Linked DNA regions of Arabidopsis thaliana. The main gene of each other region encodes a partner of the protein of the gene in region 3 in a complex. Each region holds a gene or a part of one and is shown on either strand. Other genes may lie near its edges.

What was found.
Region 1: PSRP3/2 (region 3) and AT1G64510 share a complex: the UniProt entries of both Arabidopsis thaliana proteins name them as parts of the 30S ribosomal subunit.
Region 2: PSRP3/2 (region 3) and RPS17 share a complex: the UniProt entries of both Arabidopsis thaliana proteins name them as parts of the 30S ribosomal subunit.
Region 4: PSRP3/2 (region 3) and rps18 share a complex: the UniProt entries of both Arabidopsis thaliana proteins name them as parts of the 30S ribosomal subunit.

What each region holds. Positions count from the first base shown.
Region 1 is NC_003070.9:23,952,544-23,960,866, reverse strand, and holds AT1G64510 (Translation elongation factor EF1B/ribosomal protein S6 family protein), read left to right. Parts: upstream 1-4,562; 5' UTR 4,563-4,589; coding exon 4,590-5,042; intron 5,043-5,631; coding exon 5,632-5,874; 3' UTR 5,875-6,064; downstream 6,065-8,323. Other genes in the region: AT1G64530 (Plant regulator RWP-RK family protein), read right to left, coding at 1-19, 111-670, 834-1,047; RPN12a (regulatory particle non-ATPase 12A), read right to left, coding at 2,747-2,887, 2,977-3,088, 3,184-3,447, 3,528-3,630, 3,925-4,003, 4,304-4,408; AT1G64500 (Glutaredoxin family protein), read right to left, coding at 6,491-7,597. UniProt on the Arabidopsis thaliana protein: Binds together with bS18 to 16S ribosomal RNA.
Region 2 is NC_003070.9:30,038,647-30,046,055, reverse strand, and holds RPS17 (ribosomal protein S17), read left to right. Parts: upstream 1-4,103; 5' UTR 4,104-4,133; coding exon 4,134-4,583; 3' UTR 4,584-4,813; downstream 4,814-7,409. Other genes in the region: AT1G79870 (D-isomer specific 2-hydroxyacid dehydrogenase family protein), read right to left, coding at 205-723, 840-1,262; ROPGEF12 (RHO guanyl-nucleotide exchange factor 12), read left to right, coding at 1,964-2,354, 2,438-2,592, 2,678-2,752, 2,859-3,122, 3,222-3,884; GL2 (HD-ZIP IV family of homeobox-leucine zipper protein with lipid-binding START domain-containing protein), read right to left, coding at 5,043-5,423, 5,497-5,583, 5,668-5,939, 6,023-6,413, 6,508-6,612, 6,702-7,238, 7,322-7,409. UniProt on the Arabidopsis thaliana protein: One of the primary rRNA binding proteins, it binds specifically to the 5'-end of 16S ribosomal RNA. Required for optimal plastid performance in terms of photosynthesis and growth. Required for the translation of plastid mRNAs.
Region 3 is NC_003076.8:5,138,507-5,146,638, forward strand, and holds PSRP3/2 (Ribosomal protein PSRP-3/Ycf65), read left to right. Parts: upstream 1-4,483; 5' UTR 4,484-4,593; coding exon 4,594-4,860; intron 4,861-5,114; coding exon 5,115-5,399; 3' UTR 5,400-5,586; coding exon of another isoform or gene 5,587-6,036; 3' UTR 6,037-6,100; downstream 6,101-8,132. Other genes in the region: AT5G15750 (Alpha-L RNA-binding motif/Ribosomal protein S4 family protein), read left to right, coding at 2,943-3,076, 3,198-3,305, 3,785-3,859, 3,964-4,195; GNA1 (glucose-6-phosphate acetyltransferase 1), read right to left, coding at 5,587-6,036; AT5G15780 (Pollen Ole e 1 allergen and extensin family protein), read right to left, coding at 6,392-7,401, 7,596-7,791. UniProt on the Arabidopsis thaliana protein: Component of the chloroplast ribosome (chloro-ribosome), a dedicated translation machinery responsible for the synthesis of chloroplast genome-encoded proteins, including proteins of the transcription and translation machinery and components of the photosynthetic apparatus.
Region 4 is NC_000932.1:61,909-69,120, forward strand, and holds rps18 (ribosomal protein S18), read left to right. Parts: upstream 1-6,008; coding exon 6,009-6,314; downstream 6,315-7,212. Other genes in the region: petA (cytochrome f), read left to right, coding at 1-711; psbJ (photosystem II protein J), read right to left, coding at 1,630-1,752; psbL (photosystem II protein L), read right to left, coding at 1,896-2,012; psbF (photosystem II protein VI), read right to left, coding at 2,034-2,153; psbE (photosystem II protein V), read right to left, coding at 2,163-2,414; petL (cytochrome b6/f complex subunit VI), read left to right, coding at 3,804-3,899; petG (cytochrome b6/f complex subunit V), read left to right, coding at 4,090-4,203; psaJ (photosystem I subunit IX), read left to right, coding at 5,021-5,155; rpl33 (ribosomal protein L33), read left to right, coding at 5,580-5,780; rpl20 (ribosomal protein L20), read right to left, coding at 6,604-6,957.

The DNA.
Region 1 (8,323 bases), on a different chromosome or scaffold from region 3:
AAGTTTTCAGATTCACGGCCTGCAACACAAGAGAAAACAACAATGTCACGGGAAGATCAAAGGAAACTGATAAAGAACCCTAAAAAAAGAAGGAGAAAACAAGGGCAAACCTCAAGCGCTTTACAAACTTTTTCAACCTCAGGAGCATAGTTAATCTTCGGAGAAGTCATAATAAGCTCGACAACTCCTACACAGAGTTGCCTGGATGGTTCAAAAACAGGCAAAGCCAAAGTTCCCTGAACATTATAGTGCAAGGCGTGACCAAGCCTTGAAAACTCTTTGCTGGAGTAATACTGCACATTAGGAGTCCACTCAGGTAACTTTTTCCTGAAAACGCGACCAGGAAGCCCGAGCTCTCCGTCCCGTTCACCATCAAGGGAAAACATATACGTCAATGAAACCATCCTGTATTGATTAAGGCCATTACTATTGGGACCAAGAACAAATGGCTGTCCTGAAGTTGTAAGAACATATCGACCACGGTTTTTGACAGGCGCCCAAACCTGAGCAAGAACATGTTGTTGTCCAGTAGATTCCTTGAAGTATCTAAGCGCTTGAGTCATCTTGGCTTTGATGGCACAGTAACTATCTGGATTCTCCAAAGGCATTATACCCCATGACGGAGAAGGAACCTGATTATTCTCCTTGGTCGTGGTTTCAGATTCAGAACCTGCATTTCATTTGATTCTATAAATTCCAGATCTAAATTCTACTAATCCGTGAAGTTCCAATAAGATTCCAATGAAGGAGAATATTACTATCCAGAGATTGAAGCATATTCACTACATTATCTGAATTGGATTCTAGAATCTAAACTTTGCATGAAGACTTACTAGCGAGTAAGACGGAATAATCGGTGAAGCGAGTGGGAGCTACTGCGGCGGAGTAAAGCTCGCCGCCGACATCTCCAGAAGTTTCGGAGAAGGACCAGAGAGGAGAGAAAGGTTGTTCGGAGGAAGAGAAAATGACAGGAGACTTGAAATTTGAAGCAAAAGTGATCTGATCTAACGGCCAAGAACCGCTGAGATCCAAGTCGTCAAGTTCCATCAACAGCAGCAGCAAAGACGTAAGACGAGACAAAAACTCGTCAGAGTAAGTGTTAATATCTCCGGAAGTTTCGCCGGAGCTCCTTTTGAAGCAAAAAAAAACTCTTCTGATTCAGCTTCTTCAACAGAAAGAGAGAGAGAAGAAATAAGAGGAGAAGACAAGTTGTAATATTATTTAAATTGGGATTTAAATCTTTTTGAGATAAAATAATTTGATTTTGTTGAAGACATTTGATTCCACGCTGTACCATTTTACCCCAACCACTAGAATATCTCCCATTTCATGCAAATTCTTTATTCTTTGTATTATTTTCTTTAATATTTTTATGAGACAAAAGGCATCGAAATTTTGTTTTTCTATTAATACTAACAAACTTGAATATTAGAACATTGGCCAAAAAAAAAAACTGTATTGATATTGATTGACCATCTCTAGAATATTGGCTTTGACAAAATTCGATATACATAAAACATAAAGGTGTGAATAAATACTATTAGACTATTTGAATAATCGTTTTTAAATGCTGTGATACGATTCTATTTTATTCCAAATGCATTGTTTCTGCCAGAGGCGAATATATGGTAAAGGTTTGTTTTTATCACATTTCAAAAAACGAATTGATTATGTTATATAGAGTAGATCTTTAGACGTTTCTTACACGTCCACCACCATGAACAAAGTTGTCATAGCATATTTTATGCGCCTAAAAGCTTTAAAAAATATTAAATTAAGACGTAATTAGGCACTAAGTGCGTGTTGTGGGTGAGTAGAATAACAACGACTACTATAATTTATTCAATAATAATGATGTTCTTAGCAAATAATTATGATAAACAATGCAATAATTGACGACAATGAAAAAAACGAATCTCGCTTTGGGAGATGAATAAAAAAGCGAGGACATCTAATCGTGATTATTCTTACTCAGCCATTTTCAACTACTTACCCAAAGTGGATCCTTACTTAAGCCCTTTTGCAATACATAAAATTTTTATTAACAGTAACTTGTTTTCCTAGTGGGGACATCTAATCGTGATTATTCTTTCTTTTAATGTTATAATAACTTCCCTAATTTGTTATTTAGCTGTTAATCAATATTTTAACCCCAAGGAGAAGAAATGCTTGCAACGTAAATCCCCACTTGTTTCAAGTTGATGAGTGTTTGGCAATTGACAATTGTGTGTCCCTTGTTCTGTAATGACAATCCTTCCTTCCTTCTTCCATATTTGGACTAGGTTGTTCATCAAAGGAAGGAAGGCCCCGGCTACACTACGTTAGAGGCTCTCCAAATCTGTCCTTTTCATCCACAACTAAACCAAACCCAAATTCAAATAACCAAACTGAACTAAAACATTCCACCGCAAACCAAACCGAAATTGAGTATCCCGGACCACGGTAACTCTGAATTCCAAACTATACCTAGTTTTGAACACCCCTAGAATTATGGACATCATGTTCAAGCAAAGCATCAAAGTGAGGAGGACAGAGTCTCCAATTGAAAACGAGTGAACACTAAACAATAGAATATAACGTAAAAGGATATGGAAAAACAGATTGATATCACAACAAAGTCTCATTGACCCGGAGAAAATACTGAGTCGCTCAATATCGGTCATTACATGATAACAAAGTTTTCTGACCCAGAGATTTCCAGGAACATAACAGAAGAGAAGAGACAAGCAGTGAGAAAAGTCGAATCTTACACGATACGCTCCAGCTCTCTGGCGTAGCTTAGAGTCTGGTTGATGAGTTGCAGAGACGGAATCTCTTTGCACGGTGCAGTTTCTTTGGCTTTCTGGAAGACAACAAACCCTTCCTTCACTTCCCACTCAGGATGCTCCTATAAGATTTGATAAAACCTAAATCGCGTCAATGGTTCATGAAACTAAAAAAGATTCTAAACTTTGCACAAAATGTTTTTTCTCTTACATCTGTGACATAGGTTAAGAGTTCTTGATCAGAAGAGAACAACAACATCTGCCGGGCATCGCTGATAGAGACATAATCATAAGCTTTCTCGCTGCATCCAGCTATTTCATCTCTGTGAATTCAGTCATAACAATAAAAAGGTGAGATAACACGCGAGAAGACATAAGACTGAACTAATTCAGAGAAGGACAGACTCATTGATGCTACCTTATGGTCTTTGCCAAGAGATCCATGAAATAGACGTAAGTTGCATCAGGCGCGGTCTGTCTAGCACTCAACACACGGTTATAGGCACCCTCCATGAAGGATTGCTCAAGCTCTACTGCATGCTTGATGCAAGGATCCTCTAGTGTAGCTGATGAAAGTAATTCAAGCTCGGTGTGGAATTCAGCAATTCTATTTTGTACCAGCAGCCTCAGAAGGTTAAGACCCAGGATAAGATTCTCCTGTGGAGACTGAGGAATACGGTTCCTGGTGCAGAGGAAAAGAAGATATGTTAGACCAAAAGAAAATGAAAAAGATAATGTTCAGACAGTTGGTTCTTTCTTTACCTGGCATCCACATAGTAAGGTTTCAGCTGGAAGAAATCTCTCTCAAAAGCATCTTGATCCTCGGTTTTGACGCTTAGAACAACAGCATGCTCATAAATGTCCCCTAGAATACACCAATTGTCAAAGTTTTAGAAACGGATAATCAATAAGAACAAAAATTACCAATAACTCAATCCAAACCAATGCAGCATTCAACGATTAATGTATACATATAGGGATAGACAGACAAACTAAAGCAGTACAATCCCTCAGACACTCTTCAGTGGTATTTAAGTATAGTTAACAAATAACTCATGAGAATAGACAAATCCAAAACACTCCATGCAATTGAAAGCAAAACTCTAAACTTACTAGCAAATAGCTCATGTAAAACCAATAATGAAAAAGAGAAACTTACTTGCAATAGTCAATTCCTTGGCTGCATTAGGTGAATTCTCGAACAATGGAGGAAGACTTGTGAATTTGGTAAGAAGAACCTGAAGAACACAACAAAACCCCAGCGACATCAGAGACTCGCACCAGTAAATTGTAAATCTAAACCAATCCCAACAATCCCTTAAAGTAGAAAGTTAAAAATTTCATAGCACTTAGCTCTTCTAAAAGATCCTTAACACACTTATATGCTAAAAATTCTCACTTCAATAAATCAAAGCTCTCATAGATTTAAACTCTCGCGACATAACCCATCAATTTTCCCAAAGTTGGTTCAATAAGCAGATATGCAAAGAAGTGAATTGAAACAAATTAGGGTTCAAAGAAGAGAGAGAGATGTAGACCTTAAGCTGAGACAACAGATCGCTACAGGTATTGTAATCCTTCCTCGCAAACGCCGCCTTGAATCTCTCGAACTGCTGTGAAACTTCAGTTAGCTGCGGATCCATCGCTTCTATGGTTTTTTCTCTTCACCGGCGACGATTCTTTTCTTATAGATTTGATTGCTCCGAGAACTGGCTTGATCGCGAAGACAAATAATACAGATAGAAATAATTGTCTTTACAAAACGGGCCTTTAACAGGCCCAATAACCTAAAAAGGCCCATGGTGTACAATAGAATTCTGACTAATGTGTACCATCATCATCTCTTATCCAAATTTTACTCTCTCATCTCCTCTTTGCTTTCACAATCTCACAACAATGGCGTCTTCGCTGTGTGTATCAAATTCCACAATTTGCCCTCTGCCTAATGTATCTTCGCAGCCGCTGCTATCATTCTCCCACTCTCTCAGGCCATTCATTTCCAAGTCGAAACCTATGTGTGCCTCGATACAGAAGAGAGATGGCTCTCAATTTGTGGTGAAATCTCAGGCTCTTGACTTCTCTGGAACTTTCTTTGAAGGTGGATTCGGGTCGGATGATGACCCGACTTCTCCTTCCGGGTCGGGAGTCTCAACTGCCCTTGAAGACAAACCGGAACCTCAGTGCCCACCTGGGCTCAGGCAGTACGAAACAATGGCGGTTTTGAGACCAGACATGTCTGAAGATGAACGGCTTGGTCTTACCCAGAAATACGAAGAGGTAAGTAAAAGTCTCCAACTTTACCTGTTTTCTGTTTCATGTCAGAGGGAAATTTGATTATTTGAGAGAGAAAGAGATTTTAGGATTCAATTAGAAGTTGAGTAAGAGATCACTAAAAGTTGTATCTTGTGTCTGTTCTTACACGTTAATGACAAAGCAAGAGAAAATGGTTTCAATGTAGAGTTGTGTAACTTGCAGCTATCAATTGAATGTTTGTGACGACTCCTTGTTAAAATTGAAGTAAAGAGTTTAACTTTCTAAGAGCAAATCTCATCCTTCTGTGGGCTGTGAATTCTTTAAGTCTCAACCATTTGAAACAAGATAGGAGCCCTTAGTGCACTTCTTAGTTTTTTAGTCATGTTTTACCATAACATTTTAACTCAATTCTTGAAATGTCCTTTGATGCTCGAAACGAGCTAATACACAGTTATCATTTGTGGTTTACGCGTGGGTTCTTTTACGCTATATCACATGTTTAATCTAATGAGGAATTCTGAAATTTATGTTCGGAGTAGTGGAAGTTTTTAGTTGGTGCAGACTCTGAAAGATTCATTATGTTGCTGGGATTTCTTTTTGGTGTGTGTGGCAGTTGCTTGTGGCAGGAGGTGGAATGTATGTGGAAGTGTTTAACAGAGGAGTGATTCCGTTGGCTTACAGCATAAGAAAGAAGAACAAAGCTGGAGAAACCAACACTTACTTGGATGGAATCTACCTTCTCTTCACTTACTTCACCAAACCCGAATCAATAGTTCCACTCGAGACCGTTCTCACTGCCGACGATGACATTATCCGATCATCTTCCTTCAAGATAAAGAAGAGGAAGTACAACTGAAGACCATGAACATTGTGTATGTGAGAAAAATGTCAGATTCTTTTTTTGTTTCTTTGTAAGAACAAAAGTAAATCTATCTTTTTTGTATCTTTTTTTGTGCATTGCTCTGCTTTCTTATGTAACTGTGAGAAACTCTTAAAGCTAAGTTTGAGAAGCATACTTGTATGCATTTTCATTAAAAGATTTTAACTAACACTAACTTGCCATAGTTACTATAATGATGGAATTCATATTACTCTGTTTCATAGCACAAAATCCTCAACGGATGCATAACAATCAAACAAAATAGCAACAAAGAACAAATTTGTAAAGTATTCAGGCAGAAGTGACTTTGTTTGCCAGCTTTTACCTTCTGACGATCCAAACTTAAATTAGTGAGATTGTTGAACTCCTTTACGTAATTGATCAAAACCATCAACATATACGAGTGAGAGACCTTGCAAGCTTAGCATTATAATGGTTCACGTTCATGCTTTAACATTTTATGAAAATCCTAGCATAGTTTCAAATCATTTTCAATTCCACAAAATCAAACGTGTCACATACATATAACAAAACAAACGGGACAAAGTATATTTGACACACCTCTATTTGCTTGTGTAAACTAATAATGTTCTTAATTAACAAAACACACGGGACAACGAATCAATCCATTCTCATTACACTTGACACACCTCTCCCACCTTTCACCTTTGGCCGCCCCAACCGCCGCCACCTTACAGCTTCCGCCGCACTCGAAACAAGGCAACCACCTCGCTCCTCCGCACCCTTCACACGTGAGCCTCCCTTCCTCCCCTACTCTCTCCACACGTGCCCACCGCAACACCCTCCCTAACTTCCCGTTCTCATTCATCGCTGTCACTTCCGCTGCTCCTCCCAAGTACCTCCCTTTCACAAACACTCGCGGCGGCGCCACTGATGCTTCGTCTTGGAGAAGCTCCTTAAGCTCGCTCAAGACTCCGGCGTCTAAAGACACGTCCCTCTCGTCCACCACAACTCCTTGCTGCTCCATGATGGCCCTCACACGCATACAATCCTCGTACGTGCGACGCACTCCTTGCAACGACGTCGTGTAGACAATCAAACCTTCCCCTCCTCCCGGCGGACACTTCTCCGGGAACTCCCTAAGTGGGTCCCAGTTCATCACCGGCTTCTTGTTCCCTTCTTTCTCCCTCCGTTCTCTGTCTCTCTTGACGAATATGTTCTCCTTCACTGACCGAGGCCCCGAGTAGGACGACTGAGTGGACTCGGTTCGATCATCTGACTCGGGTCTTAGCTTGGACATCGACTCGGTTCTCTTAAGCTTAACCATTGTCGTCGGGATTTGCGCGGCGATGCTTCTTTTGGCCCTCACTTCAAGCTCGTCCAGTGTGTGGAACGATGCGCTCTTCCGCGGAAGCCGCCGTGGAGGAGTCGCCGGAGGTTTAACAGAGTCTACTTCCGGCGGTTTAACGGCGGCAGGTTTAAGTTTAGTTTCTAGAGATTTGCTGACTTCTTCCCATGTTTTAGGAGCGTCATCACCATCATCATCATCATCATCATCATCCTCGTCGAGACGGTCGAAGACGGTGGAGCGTGGCGGTTTCTCATCATCTTCATGTTCAAATTTTAGCCATGGCTCTTGGATGGCGTTGACATCAAACACCGCGAAACTAGACGGCGGTGGTTTGTAAACGTCGGCGACGACGTTAGCTTTTGCTTGCTTGGAAGATGTACACCCCATTTTAATAACTCTTCAAATTTTGTTCAGTTTTCTTTGTATATGTTTTTGTGTTTACTATATGAAGAAAACAAGAAAATGATGGGTAGCATTTTGTGTGGTCTAAGAGCATTCTCTTATCTAAATATTTTTTGCATCAATTTGTATCCTTCCTAGAATAATGCTTAGTATACAATTGTGGATTTATTCGAGTCCATGAATATTTGTGAAACGATCATAATAAGAATTAGAATGACGACCACCACAAAGTGTGCTTGTGGCTTCAGTGTAATCTACGTGGTGAGTCAATCATATTCTTGACAATTCAATCTTCTAATTGTCGTCTCTCCTAAATGCAAATATGTCAAACTCTACCGAAGAAAGATATGCAAATGTCATTATCATTTGAAGGGTCGATACAAAAATAATGCATTTCATAACACAAAGAGAATATATAGCATTGGAAAAAGAGGTTTCATTTTGATATACTTGAATCTTTTGAGTATCACAATTTCACCAAAACCAAGTTTTTCTTTGGCAAATTAAATGTCCTAATGAATTAGACAATCATCAATTTTTTAAGTAACAAAACATATAACTATTGATGGAGCATGTTACAGAGTCTGATACACTTTGACTTGAAGTGTAGTATCAATGGCTAAAACACTAATTTCAACTAAAGACATCATTCATCGTTGAAATTACACAAAAACCTGAGCAAAGATGAAATTTATCTGAGATGATAAAATT
Region 2 (7,409 bases), on a different chromosome or scaffold from region 3:
CCACTCGTATACTAGACCAATACTTTGTGAAAAGAAAGATGAGTAAGAGACATAAAACGGAGAGGATTCGCCTAGTGTTCAAATCCGTTCCTTATATACGACAGTGCAACTTTCTTTTGGAAGAGAAATTACCCTTTTCATGAGTTCGTTAACATAAAAACCTTTCAAATGAAGTGAAACCAAATCCCAAATGTGTCACATGACTCAGACGACCGGAGTCAGAAGTGATTTCCCAGAAAAGTGCGCTTCCAAGTTACCCACGACAAGATCGGCCATGGCATTCCGTGTTTCCACAGTGCCACTCCCAACGTGAGGGAGGAGAACTACATTCTCAAGGCCAAAGAGCTCCTCGGGCACGTGAGGCTCCTGCTCAAACACATCAAGGGCAGCCCCACCTAGGCGGCCTTCTGTTAGAGCTTTAATAAGCTCTTGCTCATCAACATGTGGTCCACGGCCAATGTTTATGAGGACGCCCTTAGCTCCTAATGCATCCATGACCTGCCGGTCCACAATGTGTCTGGTCTGCTCGGTCAACGGGCATGCGACGACGAGGATGTCTGAGTTTTGAGCAAGGTCAACCACCGTCGGATAATACTTGTAGGCGACATCAGGCTTAATGGTTCTTGAGTAGTAATTGATTGGGCAGCTAAAGGCTTCAGCCCTCTTTGCGATGGCAGTCCCAATTCTACCTAGACCAATGATCCCCACGGATTTTCCACTAAACTGAGTCAACCAAAAGAAAGAAAGAATGTGACGCTAAAGCAGAGATAGAAGACCAAAGATAAGATAGGGCAGAGAGCTCTTTTCCAATCAATCAATAGTGGGTAAGAAGTAGAAACCTTGGTAGTGAGTTGGAATTCACCTTGCTTCCATTTTCCGCTCCTTACATAGCGATCGCACTCACACAGCCGTCGAAGGAGAGCCAGGATAAGCCCGATGGCGAGATCTGCGACGTCTTCGGTGAGAACGTCGGGGGTGTTGGTGACGCGGATCCCTTTTTCTTTGCATTTCCCCAAATCGATCTTGTCGAGCCCGACGCTGAAGCTGGATACAATCTCAAGGTTGGGCAGATCGCTGATGAGCTGAGCATCGGCGCCGGCAGAAGCATTCCCAACGACGGCGCGGATGGAGTTCCGATGAGTTTCTAGGAGGACGGATTTCTCCGGAGAAGTCCAGAAGCGAAGAAGGTTGAAGCGCTTCTCAAGCTCGTTCTCGAGGTAGGAGGACATGGGGCACATCATAAGGACTCCGATTGATTCCATATCTCCTTTTCTCTGTTTTTTTTTTTTATTTTTCTTCTGCAAATGATTGAGTCAGTGAGAGGTCTGTGTATAATTTATCGGAGGTTGACGATAAAGATGGGCCTATTTTTGGGCCCATAATTGATATTATCCGCTTTTTATGGGCCACTAAATGACCCTTTTCAAGTTTTCCTCTTGGTTCCGAAATCATGACTTATGTTTAAAGACAACATTGCACGTTTGATGATATTCATGCAAATTGTTGTAGGATTCATGAACATGATACAAACACAAGAAGACATACACTGTATGTGTATGGAAACGTAGCAGATTCCCCGTTGACATTGCATGTTTAGGGAATCCAGTGACAAGGGTGTAATCACATTTTAGTATGTTACTATATGATAACATTTTATAATTTAAACGGCTCTCTATCTCTAATTATCAATGTTCAAAATCCTAAATAATGATTAGTTAAAATTAAGAGGTGTGGTCTGAAACATGCGCCCCACGTCCCATCTTCCAAAAAAAGGAAGCAAAAGAAGAAAGCTCCACAATTTTCTCAAAGCCAAAATCACTGTAACAATTACCCTTTATTGTTTTGCGGCTCGATTAGCTTCTCCTTCCCTTTTGATTCTCCCCATCTCAAGAGAGGCCCATTTGATCCTCTCTCTTTCTCTCTCTCTCCTCTCTAATTCTCTATTGCCATCAAGAGACCAGGAATGGTTCGTGCTTCGGAACAAGAACAGGAAACCTATAGGAGCAGGCTCTTCAATTTCAAATGGAGGAACAACGACAACAATAGTGCTACGAGACACAACAAGAGTCTCAGCGTCGAGACCGGTTTAGATGAGGCTGCCACCGGATCCCATGACGCTGAACCATTGACCATTATTCATCCTAGTCAGGGTCCACCACTTTCAAGATCGGCTGCGGATGAAGCAGTCCTCGCCGCCCTCGCCGCCTCACAGGCTAGAGAAAGGCAGCTTTTGGCAGACATGGAGCAGATGAAAGAGCGCTTCTCCAAGCTGTTGCTGGGAGAGGACAATTCCGGTGGAGGCAAAGGAGTATCCTCTGCTCTCGCCCTTTCAAACGCAATCACAAACCTTGCAGGTTGCTTTAGGACCCTCTTTTGTTATTACACTTAGTTTATATTAACCAGCAACCAATATCTCATGTTTATCTTGTTGGTATAGCTTCCGTGTTCGGAGAGCAACGGCGCTTGGAGCCAATGCCTGCAGAAAGAAGAGCAAGATGGAGAAAAGAGATTGATTGGCTTCTCTCCGTGACCGATTACGTGGTTGAGTTTGCTCCATCTCAGCAGAAAAATAAAGATGGGACCAATATGGAGGTTGTCTATCTGCTGCTGCTGCTGCATTATATTTCATTTGGTAACATACAATGATTCCCTTATTCTGTTGGTATTGATTTAACAGATAATGACCACACGCCAACGTACTGACCTCCACATGAATATCCCCGCATTGAAGAAACTGGACGCCATGCTCATCGTAAGACCTCTCTCTCTCTCTCTCTCGTTGACCAAATATCAACCCTACTTTAATAATTTCATTTAGGATATTCAAAAGCATCCTCTTATCCCCCTTTTCTACCTAGGATTGTCTAGAAAATTTCAAGGACCAAAGCGAGTTCAGCTATATCTCAAAAGACTCCCCTGACTTAGACGGTAAGAGAAACGACGAAAAATGGTGGATTCCGACCGTCAAAGTTCCACCAGATGGTCTATCAGAAGCTTCAAGAAGGTTTTTGCAGTACCAGAAAGATTGTGTAAACCAGGTTCTAAAGGCAGCCATGGCCATAAACGCACAGGTTTTGTTCGAGATGGAGATACCTGAGAGCTACATCGACTCTCTCCCAAAGGTAAAAAAAAAAAAAGACACCAACAATTGATGTTATTGATTAGAAGAGTTGATGAAGAATAATACTCACTTGTTTAGTTTGTAATAAATAAATAAACAGAACGGGAGGGCGAGTCTCGGGGATCAGATGTACAAGAATATAACGGTGGACTTCTTTGACCCGGACCAGTTCCTGAGCAGCATGGACATGTCGTCGGAGCACAAGATCGTGGACCTCAAAAACAGAATCGAGGCATCAATCATTATATGGAAACGCAAAATGGTTTATAAAGACAACAAATCATCGGCACCCTGGGCCTCCGGAGTAAGTCTGGAGAAGCGAGAGGTCTTCGAAGAGCGAGCTGAGACCATTTTGCTCATTCTCAAGCAAAGATACCCCGGGATTTCTCAATCTTCACTCGACATCAGCAAAATCCAGTTCAACGAGGACGTGGGCCAGGCGGTGCTGGAGAGCTACTCGAGAATACTGGAAAGCTTGGCCTACACGGTACTTTCCAGAATCGATGACGTTTTAGAGGCAGATCGAGCGGGGAACAAGAGGAACACGCCATTGGAAGCAGAGGAAGAGACGCTGGTTGGGAGCATGACGCTGTCGGATTTCATGGGATGGGACTTCGATCAGGCCGCGAACGCCGAATTGGAGTCGAAGAAGGATCTACCGGATGATCCGTTGATAAAGGAGAAGCTAAGCGTCGTCACGACCAAGAAGACCTCATACCTCGAAACCCTAGGCGGTGTCAAGAGTCCAACGGCACGGCATTGATATTTGTGTGGAAAATTAGGCGCAAAAAAGAGCGAAGACAGATTTATTGATTATTTAATTATTTTTAGGATTCAAAAACTTTACAAAAGGGCTTTTGTAAATTCCTTTTTATGAAAAGGTGGGCTTTTAAGATTAGGCCCAGTTTATTGTAAAACCCATTTACCATCTGTATACTGTATACATCCCTTCTAAATAGTAGTAGTACTCACCTTATCTTCATTTTCATCGATTCGATTCCAAATCGGAAGGATGATAACGTCGTCCCTAACCTCATCTCTGCAAGCTCTCAAGCTTTCGTCTCCGTTCGCCCATGGCTCCACTCCTCTCTCATCTCTCTCTAAGCCCAATTCCTTCCCGAACCACAGAATGCCCGCTTTAGTTCCGGTCATCAGAGCCATGAAAACGATGCAGGGGCGCGTGGTGTGCGCAACCAGTGACAAGACTGTGGCGGTGGAGGTGGTGAGGCTGGCTCCCCACCCCAAGTACAAGAGGCGCGTGAGGATGAAGAAGAAGTACCAAGCTCACGACCCCGATAATCAGTTCAAGGTTGGCGACGTGGTCAGACTGGAAAAGAGCAGACCCATCAGTAAGACTAAATCATTTGTGGCGCTTCCTGTCATCGCAAGGGCCGCCAGGAAAGCCGAAGCCGGAGGAGATGAACTCCTTGGCCTTCCCTTGGAGTCTCAGCAGCCGGCGTAGAGAATGATTGCTCTTTGTTTCTTTTGGTAAAGCCGTCTTTTTTTTGCTCTGCTTCTGTTTGTTTGTTGTGTATCCCGGAACCAGTGTAATTTATGGAATGCTTTTGTGATTTCATTGCTTATGCCATGAGTGTGTTTTCAATCTGATTGTTTCCGACTACCAATTGTTTGCTCTTACTTCATCTTCACCTCCAGTTACATTTAGAATGTGAATTAATATGTTTCTGTTGCTACTGTGTGCTTGTGGTCTCAGTGATCCGACTTTTGTTTCTGCTAATTCTACGGTTCTTGCTCCTCTTGTTATGGTTCATTTGCCAATGGAATGGACCAAAAAGGTGTTGGATAATAATAGGATTGGAGAAGAGAGAGCTGGTCGTTTTTGTACAAAACTTTAATGCACTGCTGCTATACATTATCATATAATTATATATAGGTAAATAATATCTGCTGTGACTTGTCATCAGCAATCTTCGATTTGTAGACTTCTCTTAATGTTGTGTAGTGTGACTGAGACGAGGTTTGTCACGGATTCCACAGACTCCATATTCAGCTTTGCTGCAGGAGAAGGGTTGATGAGGGTTTGGAGGGCGAGTGTCAGGAGCGACCCTCCTTGGCTGTTTCTGTCGTCTTGTGTAGACGTTATTACCAGTGGCCGTGACTCTACTCCATCAGGTATGATTGAGAATCCAGAGGGGAGGATTTGGATGTTGCTTGGATCATGTCCCGCGAGCACCAGCTGTGTCGTGTTTATATCTACGGGAGCGTATACCACCACCGACTCATACGAGTTAGTGCTGCTGTCTTGCAGCACCCATATGCTCTTTTCTCTCGATTTCACTGTCTGGAAATGTATAGAAATTCAGATTATCAAGGCCTAGACAGATTTAGAGGAGGAGAAGACAAAATAAACGCACCTGGATTGCCACTGAGTTGCCTCTGTCTTGTCCCTTGGATAAGTTTGCAATAGACTGAACATGAGCTCCGTTTGACAAAGCATCCCACTGATGATATGTATCGTTAGATAAATATATGAGTGGAAACCGCTTTTCTTGTTTGCTTAAATGTGTGTGAATTTGACAAGGTACCTCATGCCGACGAGCTTCATCTCTAAAGAAATCGAAGAGAAGAGCTGGAGAAACAGGTAACCACAGCGAAGAAGAAGCGCAGACAATGACTCCCGTGGGCTCGCCAGGATCATGAAGGTTCTTCCTGGAAGAAACCCGCATGTCTTGTCCAGTTTTGGTGGTGATTTTGGTCCATTGATGGTAGCTTGATGCAGCAATGGCGCGGTAGAAGCTTTGTGTCATTCTCTGAGCCATCTTCAGCACACTCTTTCTCCCGGCAAGAGTTGTAACTCCTGATTATCAACAGAGGAGTGAAAAGGTTATATATAAAGAAAGATAGAGAGTGTAAATGGAGGATCCGGATATATAGACGGACCGAGAGAGTCTTTGGTGGGGACGTTGGTAGCCATGAAGAAGACAAGGCGTTCGCAATGGAGCTGAAGGGTGGCGACCCAGTGTCGAGCCCCAAAGGCCAAACCGGTGTTGACTAAGGAGCGGAAGAGAGGCTGAACTGTGGATGCAGACACGTCGAGGTGCTCCACCCAGGTGACCTTGGAGTGACCGTTGGAGGTGTCCTCGATGATGCAACCGGAGGGGAGTTTTCGACATTTCAGAAGAGAAGCCTCCTTCTCCGTGTTGCTGTCCTCCACGGAGACCGAGACGTCCACTATTGCCCATTTCTCAGGGCTCAGCTGCCGGCAGCTTCTCACGAAGTACACTTCTCTTGTGGGGACGACCGGAGTGAGCAGCTGCATCTCTCCGAACATCTGCCACAATAGTTATAAACCATATCCATCCCATGTATCAGCTGAGTCGTCATTCATCAATTATCACTATATGTATATATTGATGAGTACTCACCAGCTGAATAGCCCCGTCGATCCGTGAAGGCCCTTCGCCTTGCCGGATAACATCGACCGTTGCAGCCTTTGAGATCAAGCATGCAAATGTCTCTTTCCATTGTCCCTGCGCGTTACACGTACACATCAATTCCTTTTTATACACATAGAATAAGTTATAGTAGCTGGTAACAGTAATAAATAATGGAAAAGTACCACGTCCATGAAACTCTGGGCAAGTTTATGTGCGTCCATAAACACAATCCCCGCATCTCTAGATGCTTCGATGGTTTTCCTTCCAGGAAACGAAGAGGCTTGCGCTTGGGGAAACTCCTTGAGGTACTCATCGTAGTTGAGAATCTCACGGCCAGTCTCAACGCTGCGGAGCCACATAGGTTCGCCTGAGGTGGCCATCTTCTGGAGTTCAAGGGTGGCTCGGTTAGAAATCTCGGCAATACGGGACTTCTCGAGGGCAAAGACGCCCGTGTAGAAATCGAGAGAGCCGAGACGGTGTTCTTGATCGTCGGAGCATGAAGCCTGCAGGGGATAGGGAGTGCGTCCAAGAGCTGCACGAAGCTTATCGAGCTCGGCTTTCAGTTTGGAGTTTTCGAGGTGGAGATCATCGGGGCCTCCTCCGCAGTTGGGGCAGGAGGAATTAGCCTTGGAAAAAGACTCCCTCATGGCTTTGTTTTCCTCTCGCAGCTTCTCTAGTTCCGCCTTGAGCAGGGAGTTCTCGTGCCGTTCTTGAATAGCCTGTCCATGCATGATTGATTCATAAACTATATATATACTACTATAGTCAGACAAAAATCCATATCACGTAAGATATACATTACCTTGATCTGTGTGCGGCGGTTTTGGAACCAGAACTTGACCTGGCGAGGGGCCAGCCCTAGTTGCTTGCTCAGCTGCTGTCTTTGCTTC
Region 3 (8,132 bases):
GGTCCAAAACATTAGATCAAAACTTAAGCTAGCTTTGTTACCTTGATTTCGACTGAAGTATGGTATAAATCTGGCCCCGAGCCGACTGAACTAACATTTTCAGCATTATGTTATTCGAAATTTCGACAGTATGATAATGAGTATATTTAAAAGAAGCATTATGTATAATTTTGAGAGAAGAAAAGATTGAGCATTTTTTAGTATGTTTTTTTTTTTTAGGGTGAAAATTGGATCTAAGGATATTTATAGGAAACAAATGGATGAATACATAAGAAGGAATTAATATGTTTCGTCATGAACCAAGTAACCAACATAAATAGATACATTTTAAACTTTTTATAAAAGCAGCCATTAATAGAAGATGGTCTTTTAAAATTGGATTTGTTTTATTTGCTTTTCAAATTTTATCACAATTTTGTCTTGTTCATAGTTTTTAAGAAAAATATTAACCACAACTTTGTCTTGTTCATATTTTATTTTACAAAATTGGCTAAAATCACATTCTATTTATTTATGAGTTTTAAAATATAAATTAGATTTTGGTGATATTCAATTTATAATATTTTAATAAATTTTCAGTAGTCTCTCTAGAAATATACAAGTTTTTTTAATGTACCTCTAAATATTTTAAAATCAAGAAAATCAATCTAGATATGGTTCTTTATAAGAAAGTACACAAGCCAACAAACACTCGTAGTCTCGTAGATGTTTTTATCAAGTATATATATATACATTCATTATACTATTTTCAAATCGTTGGTAAATCAACTGATAATTTTTTTTTCCTATCCATTATATATAAAACAAATATAAATATGTCGCCTATTACATCATAAAATTTGAGGAAGTAAAAAAAAAATTGAAATTTCAAACCTATCAACTAAATTTTCTGATTTAACAGATTTAATTTATTTTTATTTTTTTAGTTTAAAAAAACTCATTCATTAAACATGTGAAAGTGACTAACCACGATGTCTAGCTGTAGCGGCAGTTTAATAAAGCTTTAAGCAATGATCTCGCTCGCCGGCCAAGTTTAGAAACAATGAAAGATCAAATTGAATGATTTGTTTTCTTTTGTCATTCGTGAAGACAATTTAAAAAGATACACGTGTAGATGTGAGGTTATGAACAGGTTATTGTTTTAAAACACAGCATTATATCAGCCAATATATATCAATATATAGACGATGTTCGGTCCAAAAATCTAGATCAATCTCCTTCATGTTTGCTATTCGAAAATGATTGTTATTTATATCAAATCGTGCGTGTAACATCGATTGATAAATATTGGAAATTTAAGTAAAGGCCAATTGTCACGTAATGACTTGAAAGCATCTCCAATGTAATTCAGTATTTATTTCTTTTCACTTGACGATAGAAGAATTTGATTAGAGATGAGTTACTTATTGAGCGAATTAATGTACGTTATTTTCTATGACCATATACATTCCACCGACATCGGACATTACACTGCTGTCGGAACTTAATGATTTATTTTTCTAAATACGAATACATTTCTCCAATGGAAAAAATCTAAGAGTTTTAAGATTTTTCTATAACTGTAATTGTCATTTCAACGAAGAGTTTAAGAAGAAAACAGAGAGAAAAGCGTGTAAATATCTGTAGTTTTAATCAAATGGGTCATTTCTATTTCAGTCTATATATTTAATCAAAATTGCAATTCACAAATTTTAATGCTTACGTATTTTAAGTAACATTAAATGAACATCTTCGTCCTAAAAGTTACTTGATATTAATAGAAAGGTAAAGTAACAGAACAAAGCATTAACGATATATTTATATTTCAAAACTTACACACAAGTATTCAGAATTAAGAAAAGAACAAAACAAATAAAGGAGACGTTTCTGCGATTATGTTTTTGCTTGAAATAGAACAAACAAACACGTATTGGTAAAGAAACCAATAACTTTGAAGATAGCTTAAACGCAAAATATATAGTGAAAAAAGGGAAATCAACAATTATTATATATCCCCACGAAACTCGGTGTCGGTGGCTCAATCATCTTAACACTCTAAACTTTTAAGCCCATTCGTGCGCATGCGTGTATGTATATACGTGTGCATTGGATTTGAAATTTTGGTCGTTATCGAGAGTTCTAGTAGATTATGCATTTTGTGTAACAAGTGTAATATAATTGGGACCCTTTATTACTTTCTATAAAACTTAATTCTTTTAACCTATAGATCACCCGTTTGTCAATTATATCAATCAAGGGTCCCTTATTAGCTGCATTTTCCGATCGATAATAGAGAAGATCATCCAATGCTTTACAATCACTTCCATGCGACCTCACATACAATTACTTCCATTGCATAGTATGTAGTAAAACTATATATTTTGCTTCCAATGGATTTGATGCTTGTTTATGCTTAGAACTTCCAAATAATCTTTTTTAACGTAGCGAATTGATTTTGCATTCAAAGCACCCTTAGTAAATCCGTTTCCTAGTCTAGTCCCATAATTAAGGTAAAATCTACATGGGCTTCTCAGGCCCATAATGAGAAGTTTAAAAGGCTCAACTCAACAAGATTTAGTTATGCTAAGGCCTTACAAGTTACAATCAAACAGAGGATAGGGACCGTCGGATTTATCTGACTTCCTCTCCTTCGATTAGGGTTTCTGAATTACTACTCCTCTGCCAATTAGGGTTTAAGCCTCTCCAGCATTTTCTTTCAGCTCAAACCCAAGAACCTCATCGCCGATTATTTCTTCATCCTTACTCTATCCCGCGCCGATTAATCTCTCTCAGGTAAACTACTTCAATTTTACTCATAGACTAATTGTACAGAGATTGATAAATCCTATGTTGTTCCCATTAGAATGTTCAAGGGTTTATGATTATTCAGGATTTCAAATCTGAATTATTGGACAAATAAACCCTAATTTCGTATAATTTGCATATCATCAGTACCGTCCGAGATGAGAAAGCTCAAGTATCACGAGAAGAAGCTTATAAAGAAAGTAAATTTCTTAGAATGGAAAAGAGAAGGTAACCATCGGGAAAACGAGATTACGTATCGATACCACATGGGCTCTCGTGATGATTACAAAAAGTTGGTACCTTTATTTGCTCTTAAAGCTCTGTTCTACTTATTCTTCTTCTTCTGGTTCGAGTGTTTTGTGATGAACAATGGTCTTTTTCTGATTCTTGAGAATGTTTTTTCTTTTGGGCAGGTATTCAGGATTGTGTAGGATGGTGCAGAAACTGACGAATATAATGAAACAAATGGATCCAGCAGATCCTTTTCGTATTCAGATGACTGATATGCTTTTGGAGAAGCTGTGAGTTTTTTAAATATATATACCAGTTTGTTCAAGTATAGAGCTTATTACAAGCAATGGTTCTTTGTTTTCTCTAGATTTAGGTCGTAGAACATGAGACTTGATCATTTTCTGCAGTTTTTTACACCGATCTTATCTTAGAGACCTCCTGTTGTTTTTCTTGTTAACCACTTTTAGAGATAATTAAAATTGGGGGTCCTTATGCTTCTATATAGATTTTAGGACCGTTGGTTTGAAATCCATTAGAGGTTGAATTCATCCTGGTAAAATGTGTGATCTAATGGGTTTCTTTCAGAATCTGTTTCTTGAATAGCTTCTACATAGAGCTAAGTTACTATATAATATAGGCTTATTGTATAGGGAAAAAGAGCCATCCTACTGAAACTTGTTGATTGCGTAGTTCCACTCTGCAATGAGAAAACTTGTTCTCTTAATGGCTGACTGACTTGTGTTTCTTACATGTACGCTTGAAACGGCAGATATAACATGGGTGTTATACCGACTAGGAAAAGCTTGACTCTAACTGAGCGGTTATCAGTTTCATCCTTCTGTAGGTAAGAGTATATGCAAGAGCCTATATAGGCAGTTACTTAAACCCTTGATAGCCAAATGTTCTCATTTCGTTTGCCTCATATCGGTTCTTTTTTTTTATTTGCAGGCGTAGGCTATCTACTGTGCTGGTTCACCTGAAGTTTGCAGAGCACCACAAAGAAGCTGTGACATACATAGAGCAAGGACACGTTCGTGTAGGACCAGAAACAATTACTGATCCAGCTTTCTTAGTAACTCGGAACATGGAAGATTTCATCACTTGGGTTGATTCATCCAAGATTAAACGAAAGGTTCTTGAGTACAATGACACATTGGATGATTATGACATGCTTGCTTAGCTTTGAGGAAGTTAAAAAAGACTGATGTTTTGTAAAAGCCAAAAAAGGTTCACTGCTACTACTATTGCAGGGTTTGTTTGGATTTTTGAATATGCAAATGTGCTACTATTCCCTTGTCTTTAATCTTACTTTCGATCTATTTGCAAGAAGAAACTTGAAAACAAATGTCATGAAAATATTGAATCTAACTCATATTATCGTCAAATTGTATAAGTTGGAGCCACAGAAATGGATGAACATAAAATATTAAATCTAATTATTATTTGACACTTCAAATTACAAAACCCGTTTGATTCGATCCGACCCGACCCGACCAGAAAATCGCAAAACCTGTGTTTTTGCTTTCCCCGGTCTCTCAAAATAAAATTGCTCGCTTAGAAGCTTCAAACGCAGCTGAAATGGCGGTTCAAGCAAATCAGAGTGCTTCTTTTGGGTTCAGAACAGCTTCACCTTCTCAGAAGCTCTCTTCGAAACCCATAGCTCATATCTCTCTATCGACGAAGCTCAAACCCTCTTCTCGACCATCGCTTTCGTGCTCTACTTGGAATCAGGGTCAAATTCCGGCGAGACACTCCTGTATCAATCCCGGAATATTCGCATATCCCCCCTCCAATCTTACCTTCTCTCATGAACTACCAGAATCTGAATCTCCGCCACTTGGAAAGGTCAGTCATCGTCAAAAAACTTCTCTTGGAACAAATTGGGGTTATAAGCTTGTTAGACAAAGTTGCAGCCTTTTTTTGTCATTTGAACGAAAATGTGGTAAACCAAATGTATTGTCTCCATCTATTTAATTGTGGTAGAAGAGGCAGTGTGTGCTAGTGTTAAACCTCCCTTATGTTGCTTCATTGTGAAAACTTTTGTGAAAGGAAGTAGAGATGTATGATTCTTCCCTTGTTATCGTCATCTTATATTGCAGAAGAAGATGCGTGTGTTAGTGAAGCCGCTAGAGAAACCAAAGGTGGTACTGAAGTTTGTATGGATGCAAAAGGACATAGGAGTTGCATTAGACCATATGATTCCAGGATTTGGAACAATCCCACTTAGTCCATACTACTTCTGGCCTAGGAAAGATGCTTGGGAAGAGCTCAAAACTTTGTTAGAGAGCAAGCCTTGGATCTCTGAGCTTCATCGTGTCTTCCTCCTTAACCAAGCTACAGACATCATCAATCTTTGGCAATCAAGCGGTGGAGATTTGTCTTGATTTGGATTCACCAGATATATCTGTTTATCATAGGTATCATTAACTTTTCAAAGTCTAAAGCTTTTGTGTTGTTTAGTCTATCATTAGTCCTCTGTGTAATCATCGAAACTCGAAAAAACTTCTATCATTAAAATGGCGAATTCAAAACAAGAAAACAAAAGATCATCATCATCATCATGATGAACGTTTAATCGAAGTACTTAGACATTTGAATCGATTTATTACTCATCCCACATTTCTCATAGAACACTTTGTTCTCCACACTACAATCTAGAATCACCTTATAGCAACCCATTGATTTGCAATGATCCATAAGAAACTCAACAACTTTCTTCCCCAGCTGTTTCCCGCGAAACCTTGAATCCACAACAACGTCTTCAATGTGCCCAGCTTTACCGCAATTCCTCAGAAACTTCTTCTCTATCATCACACTACCCGTAGCAGCGATTTTTCCCGAAGTTTCTTCTTCGATCACGCAGATCACGTGGTCGTCACCATACGATCTGATTTCTTCGAATCGCCGATCGAATTCTTCGTCTGTTACTGATCCGGTGACGGTTAGTTGACCTAGAAGCTCGATGAATCCTTTTCTCTTATCGGAGATCTCCAGTTTTCGGATCTTGAATGTCTCAGCCATAGAATCAGATCGGATAATTTTGAATTTGAGTTTTTTTTTATAAGATCCAGTCACTCACTGGAACTGAATATAATCACCCATAGAAAAACAAATGTGATAATTACGAAAAGGTACTTATTCTTTTAGATAGTTACAAAAAGTTTCCGAATCTCTTAATGAAGTCAAAATGGGCCATTTGTTTTTTAAATTGACTTTTGATGTAACAAAAGCAGCAAGATAAAAACTCCATAGTAAACAATATTTATTGAAATGACAACAAGCCAACAAGTGAAAATGCAGAGGAAAAAAGTAACAATTTAAAGCGGATGATACATATAGATTACATAATTGGAAATGTAAGGAAAGGATTGCTAATTTAGGGTTGATGGTGACTAGAAAAGGAAGGTGAAAGAGGAGGGATTCCCGGGATGAGAGGGGCCGGAGGGATTCCAGGGATAAGAGGGACCGGAGGGATGCCAGGGAGTCCAGGGACCGGAGGGAGCGGAACAGGGAAAGAAGGTGGTGGTGGCGGTAGTGAAGGCGGATTCACGATAGGGACAGGTGGAAGAACCGGAAGAGGTGGAAGAGTCGGAATTGTTGGAATCGGTGGCAGAGTAGGAGTCGGGGGAGTAGGAAGTAACGGAATTGTAGGGAGAGTTGGGGGAGTAGGGATTAGTGGGATTGGAGGGAGACTTGGGGGAGAAGGAATAAGCGGGTTTGGAGGGAGAGTAGGGGTTGGGATAGAAGGAATGAGCGGGTTTGGAGGGATGATAGATGGCGGGTTTAACGGGTTTGGCGGAAAGAAGAAATTGGGTTTTAGTGCTTCGGTTTTCTTGTCTTTCAAGGAATCAGATTTCTTGTTATGCAAGGAAGCTGATTTCTGAGGTCCTGGTGGAAGAAGAGGAGGAACTAGAGGAAGAGGTAAGTCCGGAACAGGTAACTTTGGAACAGGTAAGTTTGGAAGAGGAGGAACGATAGGGAGATTTGGGAGAGGGGAAGGATTAGGAGGATCTTGGAGCGGTGGAGGAAATGAAGGATCCGGTAAAAGAGGCTTGGAACCGCGGAGATTGATAGGTTTTTGGCTACAAATCTCTGGTTGGTTTTCGGGTCTGAAAGTGAAGAACCCTGCAGAGAAAACCCTAGTATTCTCTCCATGATGGTTTGATTTAAGGCGTTTGAGAGAAGAAGAAGTAGCAGACGAAGCTATAGAACAGTAAGGCTGTGAGCTACTTAGCAACTTCACAGAGCATCTCTTGATCTTCTTCACATGTTTGCTCACAGAGAATGGTAGCTTCACTTTGAATTCGCCGCGCTTGTCTGTTTTCACTTCTTGTCTGAAACTCGGTTTCGAGTTCTCGTCAATGCATTCCACTGCAACTAAAGCACCTGCAACAAGATCCACAAAACTTTTCATAATTCTTTCTAAGATTTTAGACCCACAAACAAGAAAAAACCCTATAAGTTTCCAAAACAGAGTGCTCTGTTCTAGAATCCAAAAAACATTATTTTCCAAGTAGTGTTACCAAGAAAACACGAGCAAGACTGCAAGAGGAAAAAAAAACAAAAATCAGAAACCAGACCTGAGATTAAGTGGTTGGGTGATTTCGAGAAGGCGCCGTTAAAACAAGTGTCACAGTAGACAGTTCCTACTACAACTGCAGAAGAACGTGTCTTCTTCATAACATGTTGCTGTCCTTGAGACAAACCTCCATTGATAGAGATTCCTAAGAAAATCATAAGACTAAACCAAAACCATAAGGTCGTTATTCTCTCCATAATTATCGACTCTATCTCTCACTATCGGAGGAAAGAGGGGGTATATATATAGGAGTGTGGTGTGAAGATGAGTGAGCCACGAAAAACGAAGAGATTGTTAAAAGATGAGTGAAGCTTATCTCTTTTTGTTTTGCCATGTTAATAAGAATCATGGGAAAAATACAAAATCGAACTACAAAGCTAGCTACTATAATGTCTTGTGACCCTATCTTTCTACAGCTCAGTAGCTGAATTATTGTAAAAAATAGTAAGAGGTGAGAAAAAAGACAACACTAATATTTTGGATTCACGTTCGCGTGTCGATTAGATTTGATCGAACAGTACACGGTAAAAACACGTTC
Region 4 (7,212 bases), on a different chromosome or scaffold from region 3:
AAAATTCCTTATGATATGCAACTAAAACAAGTTCTAGCTAATGGTAAAAAAGGGGCTTTGAATGTGGGAGCTGTTCTTATTTTACCGGAGGGTTTTGAATTAGCCCCCCCCGATCGTATTTCACCCGAGATGAAAGAAAAGATAGGAAATCTTTCTTTTCAGAATTATCGTCCCAATAAAAAAAATATTCTTGTGATAGGTCCTGTTCCTGGTCAAAAATATAGTGAAATAACCTTTCCTATTCTTGCTCCAGACCCTGCTACTAATAAAGATGTTCACTTCTTAAAATATCCTATATATGTAGGTGGAAACAGGGGAAGGGGTCAGATTTATCCTGATGGTAGCAAAAGTAACAATACAGTTTATAATGCTACGGCAGGAGGGATAATAAGTAAAATTTTACGAAAAGAAAAGGGGGGATACGAAATAACCATAGTGGATGCATCGAATGGACGCGAAGTTATTGATATTATCCCTCGAGGCCTAGAACTTCTTGTTTCAGAGGGCGAATCCATTAAACTCGATCAACCATTAACGAGTAATCCTAATGTGGGTGGATTTGGTCAGGGGGATGCGGAAATAGTACTTCAAGATCCATTACGTGTCCAAGGTCTTTTGTTCTTCTTAGGATCGGTTGTTTTGGCACAAATCTTTTTGGTTCTTAAAAAGAAACAGTTTGAGAAGGTTCAATTATCCGAAATGAATTTTTAGATCTGTCTATTTAGCTTTATCAAATTCGTAAAAAAGAACAAAAAATTATGAAAACCTTTTGCCTCTCTTTAGATTTGCTATTCCTTTTCGACTAGATGTCAGGAATTACTTATATCATAGTCCTAATACTAGTATGTATATTGAGAAGAATTCACTTTACCCCCCTTTATTTATTTTTCAATAAAAATTTGAAAAATGAGAAGGGGTGTGATGTAACTCTGTCGTTATTGACCAATTGAAATTGATAGAATGTATCAATAATCAAGAGTTTTTTTCTAGTCAAATGGCAAAATTTGACTAGATACTAAAATAAGATAAGGAACACACGCGCCGAAAAAAAGGGGAACCATAAATCGGCGAAACAACAAGTTTTAGGGACTATAGGGAGTATTTTTTGTCTTGCTAGTCTTCGACACAAGAAAAGGAATTTTAGACATCCTTTTCTTGTGTCGATCTTGTCCTTCTTGATTCAATTCGTTAAAAACTCCTATTCTTAGTTTACATATATATATATATATTATAGTAGTTACTTTTTGTAGTTTTCTTTTTTTTTTTTTCAATTTTGATGAAATACTAAATAAATAAAATCAGAAAAAACTTCTATTTCGATTCTATTATAGTATAGACCAAATTTTAAATTTTAATGATAGATCTAATGATAAAAACTATTGTGTCAGCCGGGGAAGCAGGAAAAGGGAATGAAGTGATTCCCCTTTTTTATTCTATCTTTGAAAGATTAAAAAATACTATATGTTCATAATATACTAATTTAGTTAAGTTCATTTTTCAAAAACACGATAAAAAATTGTTCTGATTATTAGCAGTTCAACGGGACCCCCTCGAATCAGACAAAGAAGGAAGAGTTGGGCCCCGTTGAGTTCTTATGTTTTCACGTCTATAACTCAGCTCATCCAATTTCTACAGGGATGAACCTAATCCTGAATATGAACCATAAAAGAAAATACCTATTAAACCGATCACAAGAATACCAGCTACAGTACCTATTACCCAAAGAGGAATCCTTCCAGTAGTATCAGCCATTTATCCCGCTTCCCTCCACATTTAATCGAGTGGTCATGCTAGAAACATAAACAGTCAGAGATAATTATTATATATAATCCATCCGAATGGGATAATAAAATTACTACTCTTTATTTTTTATTTTATTATTCTACGCTCTTTTCTTAATTGAAGAAATAATTCGAAAATAAAACAGCAAGTACAAAAATGAGTAATAACCCCCAATAGAGACTGGTACGATTTAATTCAACACTTTGTTCGTTCGGATTTGATTGTGTCATAGCTCTATAATTGAATTAGGTTTATCGTTGGATGAACTGCATTGCTGATATTGACCCCAAAAAAGAAACGGTAGGTACAGCTAGTCCATGAACAGCCAACCAGCGCACTGTAAAAATTGGATAGGTCCTATCTATAGTCATTGGGTCCTCCTAAAAAGATCTACTAAATTCATCGAGTTGTTCCAAAGGATCAAAACGGCCTGTTATTAATGGAATGCCTTGTCGGCTCTCTGTAAAATACTCGTTTGGACGAGGGCTCCCGAACACATCGTAAGCTAAACCGGTGCTGACGAATAACCAGCCCGCAATGAATAGGGAAGGTATAGTAATGCTATGAATGACCCAGTATCGAATACTGGTAATAATATCAGCAAAAGAACGTTCTCCTGTGCTTCCAGACATACTGAACTCCAGATATTCTCGTAGGGAATCGATTCTGTAAAAGATGAATAAGTAAATTAAAATTCACTGAGATTGCATCTTTGTGAGATCGTCAATAAAGTACCAAGGGTATTTTTAGAGTCTACCGAATCAGTATAGCTATCCTTCTTCTGACACAGCAACGCAATTTGAATTAGTATAGAAATGGGGTGTTACATAATTTCTTTTTTTCTTGCTTGTCGATGTATAACCGTGTCCCACTTTTTCAAATTACTGTAATCTATAGGGGCTTTGATCCTTTATTCGTTTTGGACTAGAAAATAAACTAAAGATTAGATAAAATGAAAATCCAAGAAGTTGGTTTCTAATTCTAATAATTCATGAAGCAAATTTTCATATGGTCCCAAGTTAATTGAATGAAAAATTTATAAATTTCATTTTCATTGCATATGCATAATTGTAGAATAGATTTTTTTATGATAATGTGATCCCCCCTTTTACTTTTTGTTTCATTTTAAGGAATTAATTTGCAGAAACAAGAAAAAGAACAATAGTTTTGGATTGGATTGGATCAATTAAAAAGAACAACAAATAAAAATAATAAAAAAAGACTAAATATTTGTAATGCGTGCATTGTTTTGTTGTATTCAATTCACAATTCAAAGGTTTTTTTCTTTCTTTAACTAACTACAAGGGTGATGGGTTTTTCACTCTATTTTCTATATAATCTCGAAAGAAAAAAACCTAAAACCTCGAAAGGAAACGATAATAGAAATTGCTAATTACAAGTTTTAAAAATCTAGTTATCGTTTAAAATCTAGTTAAAATAAATAAATCTTTTTTTTTACTAATCTCGTTCTCCGTGTAGGATACCTCTTTTCTTTTTAGTCTCATTCGATAGATTAAATGAAGAAAACTGCTCTACTATTTAATTTAATCTAATGAGTTTAAATTTTAGTAAATTCAATTTTAATAAAGTAGAAAGAGGCGTATTCTAGGTTCTAAGGTCAATAAAAAAAAAGAATCAAACAACTTATTTTCAAATTTTTACATATTCATTCAAAAAAAGTTATATGTTTTGACTGAAGTTAGATAATAGAGTTATTTTTTTTATGTATTATTTTTTTTTATGATTAATTTCTTAAAGAGTTTTTCAATTAATAAGTTACGTTAATTCTGACTCCTGAGATAGTGCAGATGCCAAAGACGATGAATTGAGTTCTTTTTATCTTTCTCTATTTTTTTTCATACCACCTATAATGATTGATAATTCACAAATTTTCAATTGAATTTTTTTAATTCTTGGAACTAGTTATCTTTCTCTATTTCTTAAAAAAAATTTCAATTGAAACTTAGGGAAGTACTTTAAGAAACATATGTATAAAAAAACATATTTTATTGAGTCCCTTCATGCCTACTATAACTAGTTATTTCGGTTTTCTACTAGCAGCTTTAACTATAACCTCAGTTCTGTTTATTGGTCTAAGCAAAATACGACTTATTTGAAATTAATTGAATGCAGATTTTTTTATAAAAAAGGATTTCGTTGGTATTTATTAATATGTTCGATAGTTCCTTACCGTGTTAATTACCAAATTTTGGTCATTGAGATTCATTGGCAATACAGATTAAGAGCTAGGAATAGATAGTACCTCTCTTTTCTCCCTTTCAAAAATGAAAACAAAAGAAAATTCAAATGATTGAAGTTTTTTTATTTGGAATCGTCTTAGGTCTAATTCCTATTACTTTGGCTGGATTATTCGTAACTGCTTATTTACAATACAGACGTGGTGATCAGTTGGACTTTTAATTAATTAACATCTCGTTTTTTTACTAACCTCCTTCTTGCTTTCCTATGCGGGAGGTCTAATTCAGACTGCTGCTCAGTAATTTGTGAACAGTGGAATTTTGATACAATCTATGAAATCACGCTCTGTAGGATTTGAACCTACGACATTGGGTTTTGGAGACCCACGTTCTACCGAACTGAACTAAGAGCGTTTTTCTTTTTTTTTTTTTCTAAAAAACGAAAAGGCTAGAAAGAGGGCATTCTTTAACCCGACTCGATTTTGTACGTATATACTATATCATACATAGTATATCATAAATTTCAGAATTAAATGTATGTCCGATAAAAAAAATTGATCAAAATAGATACCTCGTTACTGCTCTTCTGAGCAGTAATAGGTAGGGATGACAGGATTTGAACCCGTGACATTTTGTACCCAAAACAAACGCGCTACCAAGCTGCGCTACATCCCTTTCAATAGGTTTACAGTGTCATTGTAGAGAATTCCTGTCTTGTTTTCCACATCCTCCTTCTTTTTTATTGGTATATCAAATTCATTTCTTCTTTTTTTCTCATATCAGATAACAAAGATATAATTAAAAAATTTACTTTTTTTTTTTTTTTTATTCTCTCAATTTTACATAAATAGGCCTTTACGTTTTCAAATGGAATCGATAAGATCGTTCTAGTCGACAATATTAAAATTCTAATTTTGAAAGCGGGGGGACGGAAGTTACATATACAAATACAAGAACTTCTTAATTACATGTACATCTGTAATTATATATATTACTATATATAATGTAATACAATAAAGAAGAAAGAAGGAGGATTTCTAATGCGAGATCTAAAAACATATCTTTCCGTAGCACCGGTACTAAGTACTCTATGGTTCGGTTCGTTAGCAGGTTTATTAATAGAGATTAATCGTTTATTTCCAGATGCATTAACATTTCCCTTTTTTTCATTCTAGTTATTAACATCAGAAAGGGGTGAAAAATTTAGAGATACAATCAACAATCGGGGACTAACCCCCCCACCTTTTCTAATTAGTAGAATAAATTAGAAAAGGTGGGGGGGGGGGGGAAAGGTCATAAAAACGAGGGTTCAGGATCCAATGAAATTAGTAATAGAACGAAAAAAAGTGTTGCTAGGGAACCTATCAGATACTTAAAAAAACTACTGTACAAAGATTTTAAATATAGTTTTCACAAAATCATAAATCATTGTATTACTTATTTTTTTTATTTAATTACTAATAAATAAAATATTAATTGTAACGAAATATTTCAGAATTTTTTTTAGTTAACAGCTTCTATTTTTTTTGTTCTTGTTCTTTCTGGATCCTAAAATTAAAATAGAAGATTGAGGTGAATCATAAATCCAAAGGAGGTTTCATGGCCAAGGGTAAAGATGTTCGAGTAACAATTATTTTGGAATGTACCAGTTGTGTTCGAAATGATATTAAGAAAGAAGCCGCGGGAATTTCCAGATATATTACTCAAAAGAATCGGCATAACACCCCTAGTCGATTGGAATTGAGAAAATTCTGTCCCTATTGTTATAAACATACAATTCACGGGGAAATCAAGAAATAGATCAAATTGAGTGCTTGTATGTCAACTTTTATTTTAAGAACAGGAATAATGCTAGTATCTATATATTATTACATATATATAAATATAAACAAATAAATCAATAGAAAGAAATCTAATCCGATATTCTTAATTCTATATAGAAATTCTATCCTATATAGAAATAGAAATCGTTTTTATTTTGATCCGATCAAAATAGGATTTTAGAGATAAGGAATAAAAATAAAAATTATGAATAAATCTAAGCGACTTTTTACTAAATCCAAGCGATCTTTTCGTAGGCGTTTGCCCCCGATCCAATCGGGGGATCGAATTGATTATAGAAACATGAGTTTAATTAGTCGATTTATTAGTGAACAAGGAAAAATATTATCTAGACGGGTGAATAGAGTGACTTTAAAACAACAACGATTAATCACTATTGCTATAAAACAAGCTCGTATTTTATCTTTGTTACCTTTTCTTAATAATCAGAAACAATTTGAAAGAAGTGAGTCGACTCCTAGAACTACTAGTCTTAGAACCAGAAAAAAATAGACTTATTTTTCAATTGAATAACAATTCCAATCTGAAGGAATTAAAAAAGAGATTAATGTTTTGTTCAAAAAATCCAATCAAGAATAAAAATTTGATTGTTACGTCTGTGTCTATTATAAAAAAAAAAAGAAAAGAATCGTCGAAAAGCATAACTCGTTTTTTCGAAACTATATACTCTCGTTTTGTTTTGACGACTTTTTTTTTAATACTAATTTCTACTCTACCTTCCCCGAGCTCATTCTCCTTAGAACTCTATTTCAAATATTTTCGTGGATTTCTTCCAATCCCCTTATTTTTTTATGTCATTCGAAATTGTATAAAGACAACTCCTATTTAATAGAGCTATTTGTGCAAGTATTTTCCGATTAAGAAGTAATTGCTTCTTGTATAGATTGTGTATGAATTCATTATAACTATAGAATACCCCCATTTCGTGAATTACGGCATTTATTCGAGTGATCCATAAACGGCGAAAATCTCTTTTTCTTTTACCCCTATCCCGATGAGCCGAAACTAAAGCTCTTATTCTCTGTTGAGTCATAGTTCGTGTAAGCCGTGAATGAGCCCCTCGAAAGCTTGATGCAAATAAACGAAGTTTTGTTCTACGCCTCCGAGCTATATATCCGCGTTTAATTCTAGTCATTGAATAAATCAAACTTTGATGAATAACTAATTCTTTTTTTAGTTATTCTTTTCCCCTTTACTAGTCTATTAATAACCAAACGAATTATTCCAATGTATAAAAAAAATTCCAATGGCTTTTGCTACTCTAACCTTCCCCACCACTATTTTTTGCTAGGTATTTTCCTTTACTTTGAAAGGCCTTGATATAAAAAAATAGAATAACTACAAAACGTAGTAAATAGAATTGGATAAATAGTGGGTTCCATCGTTTCTA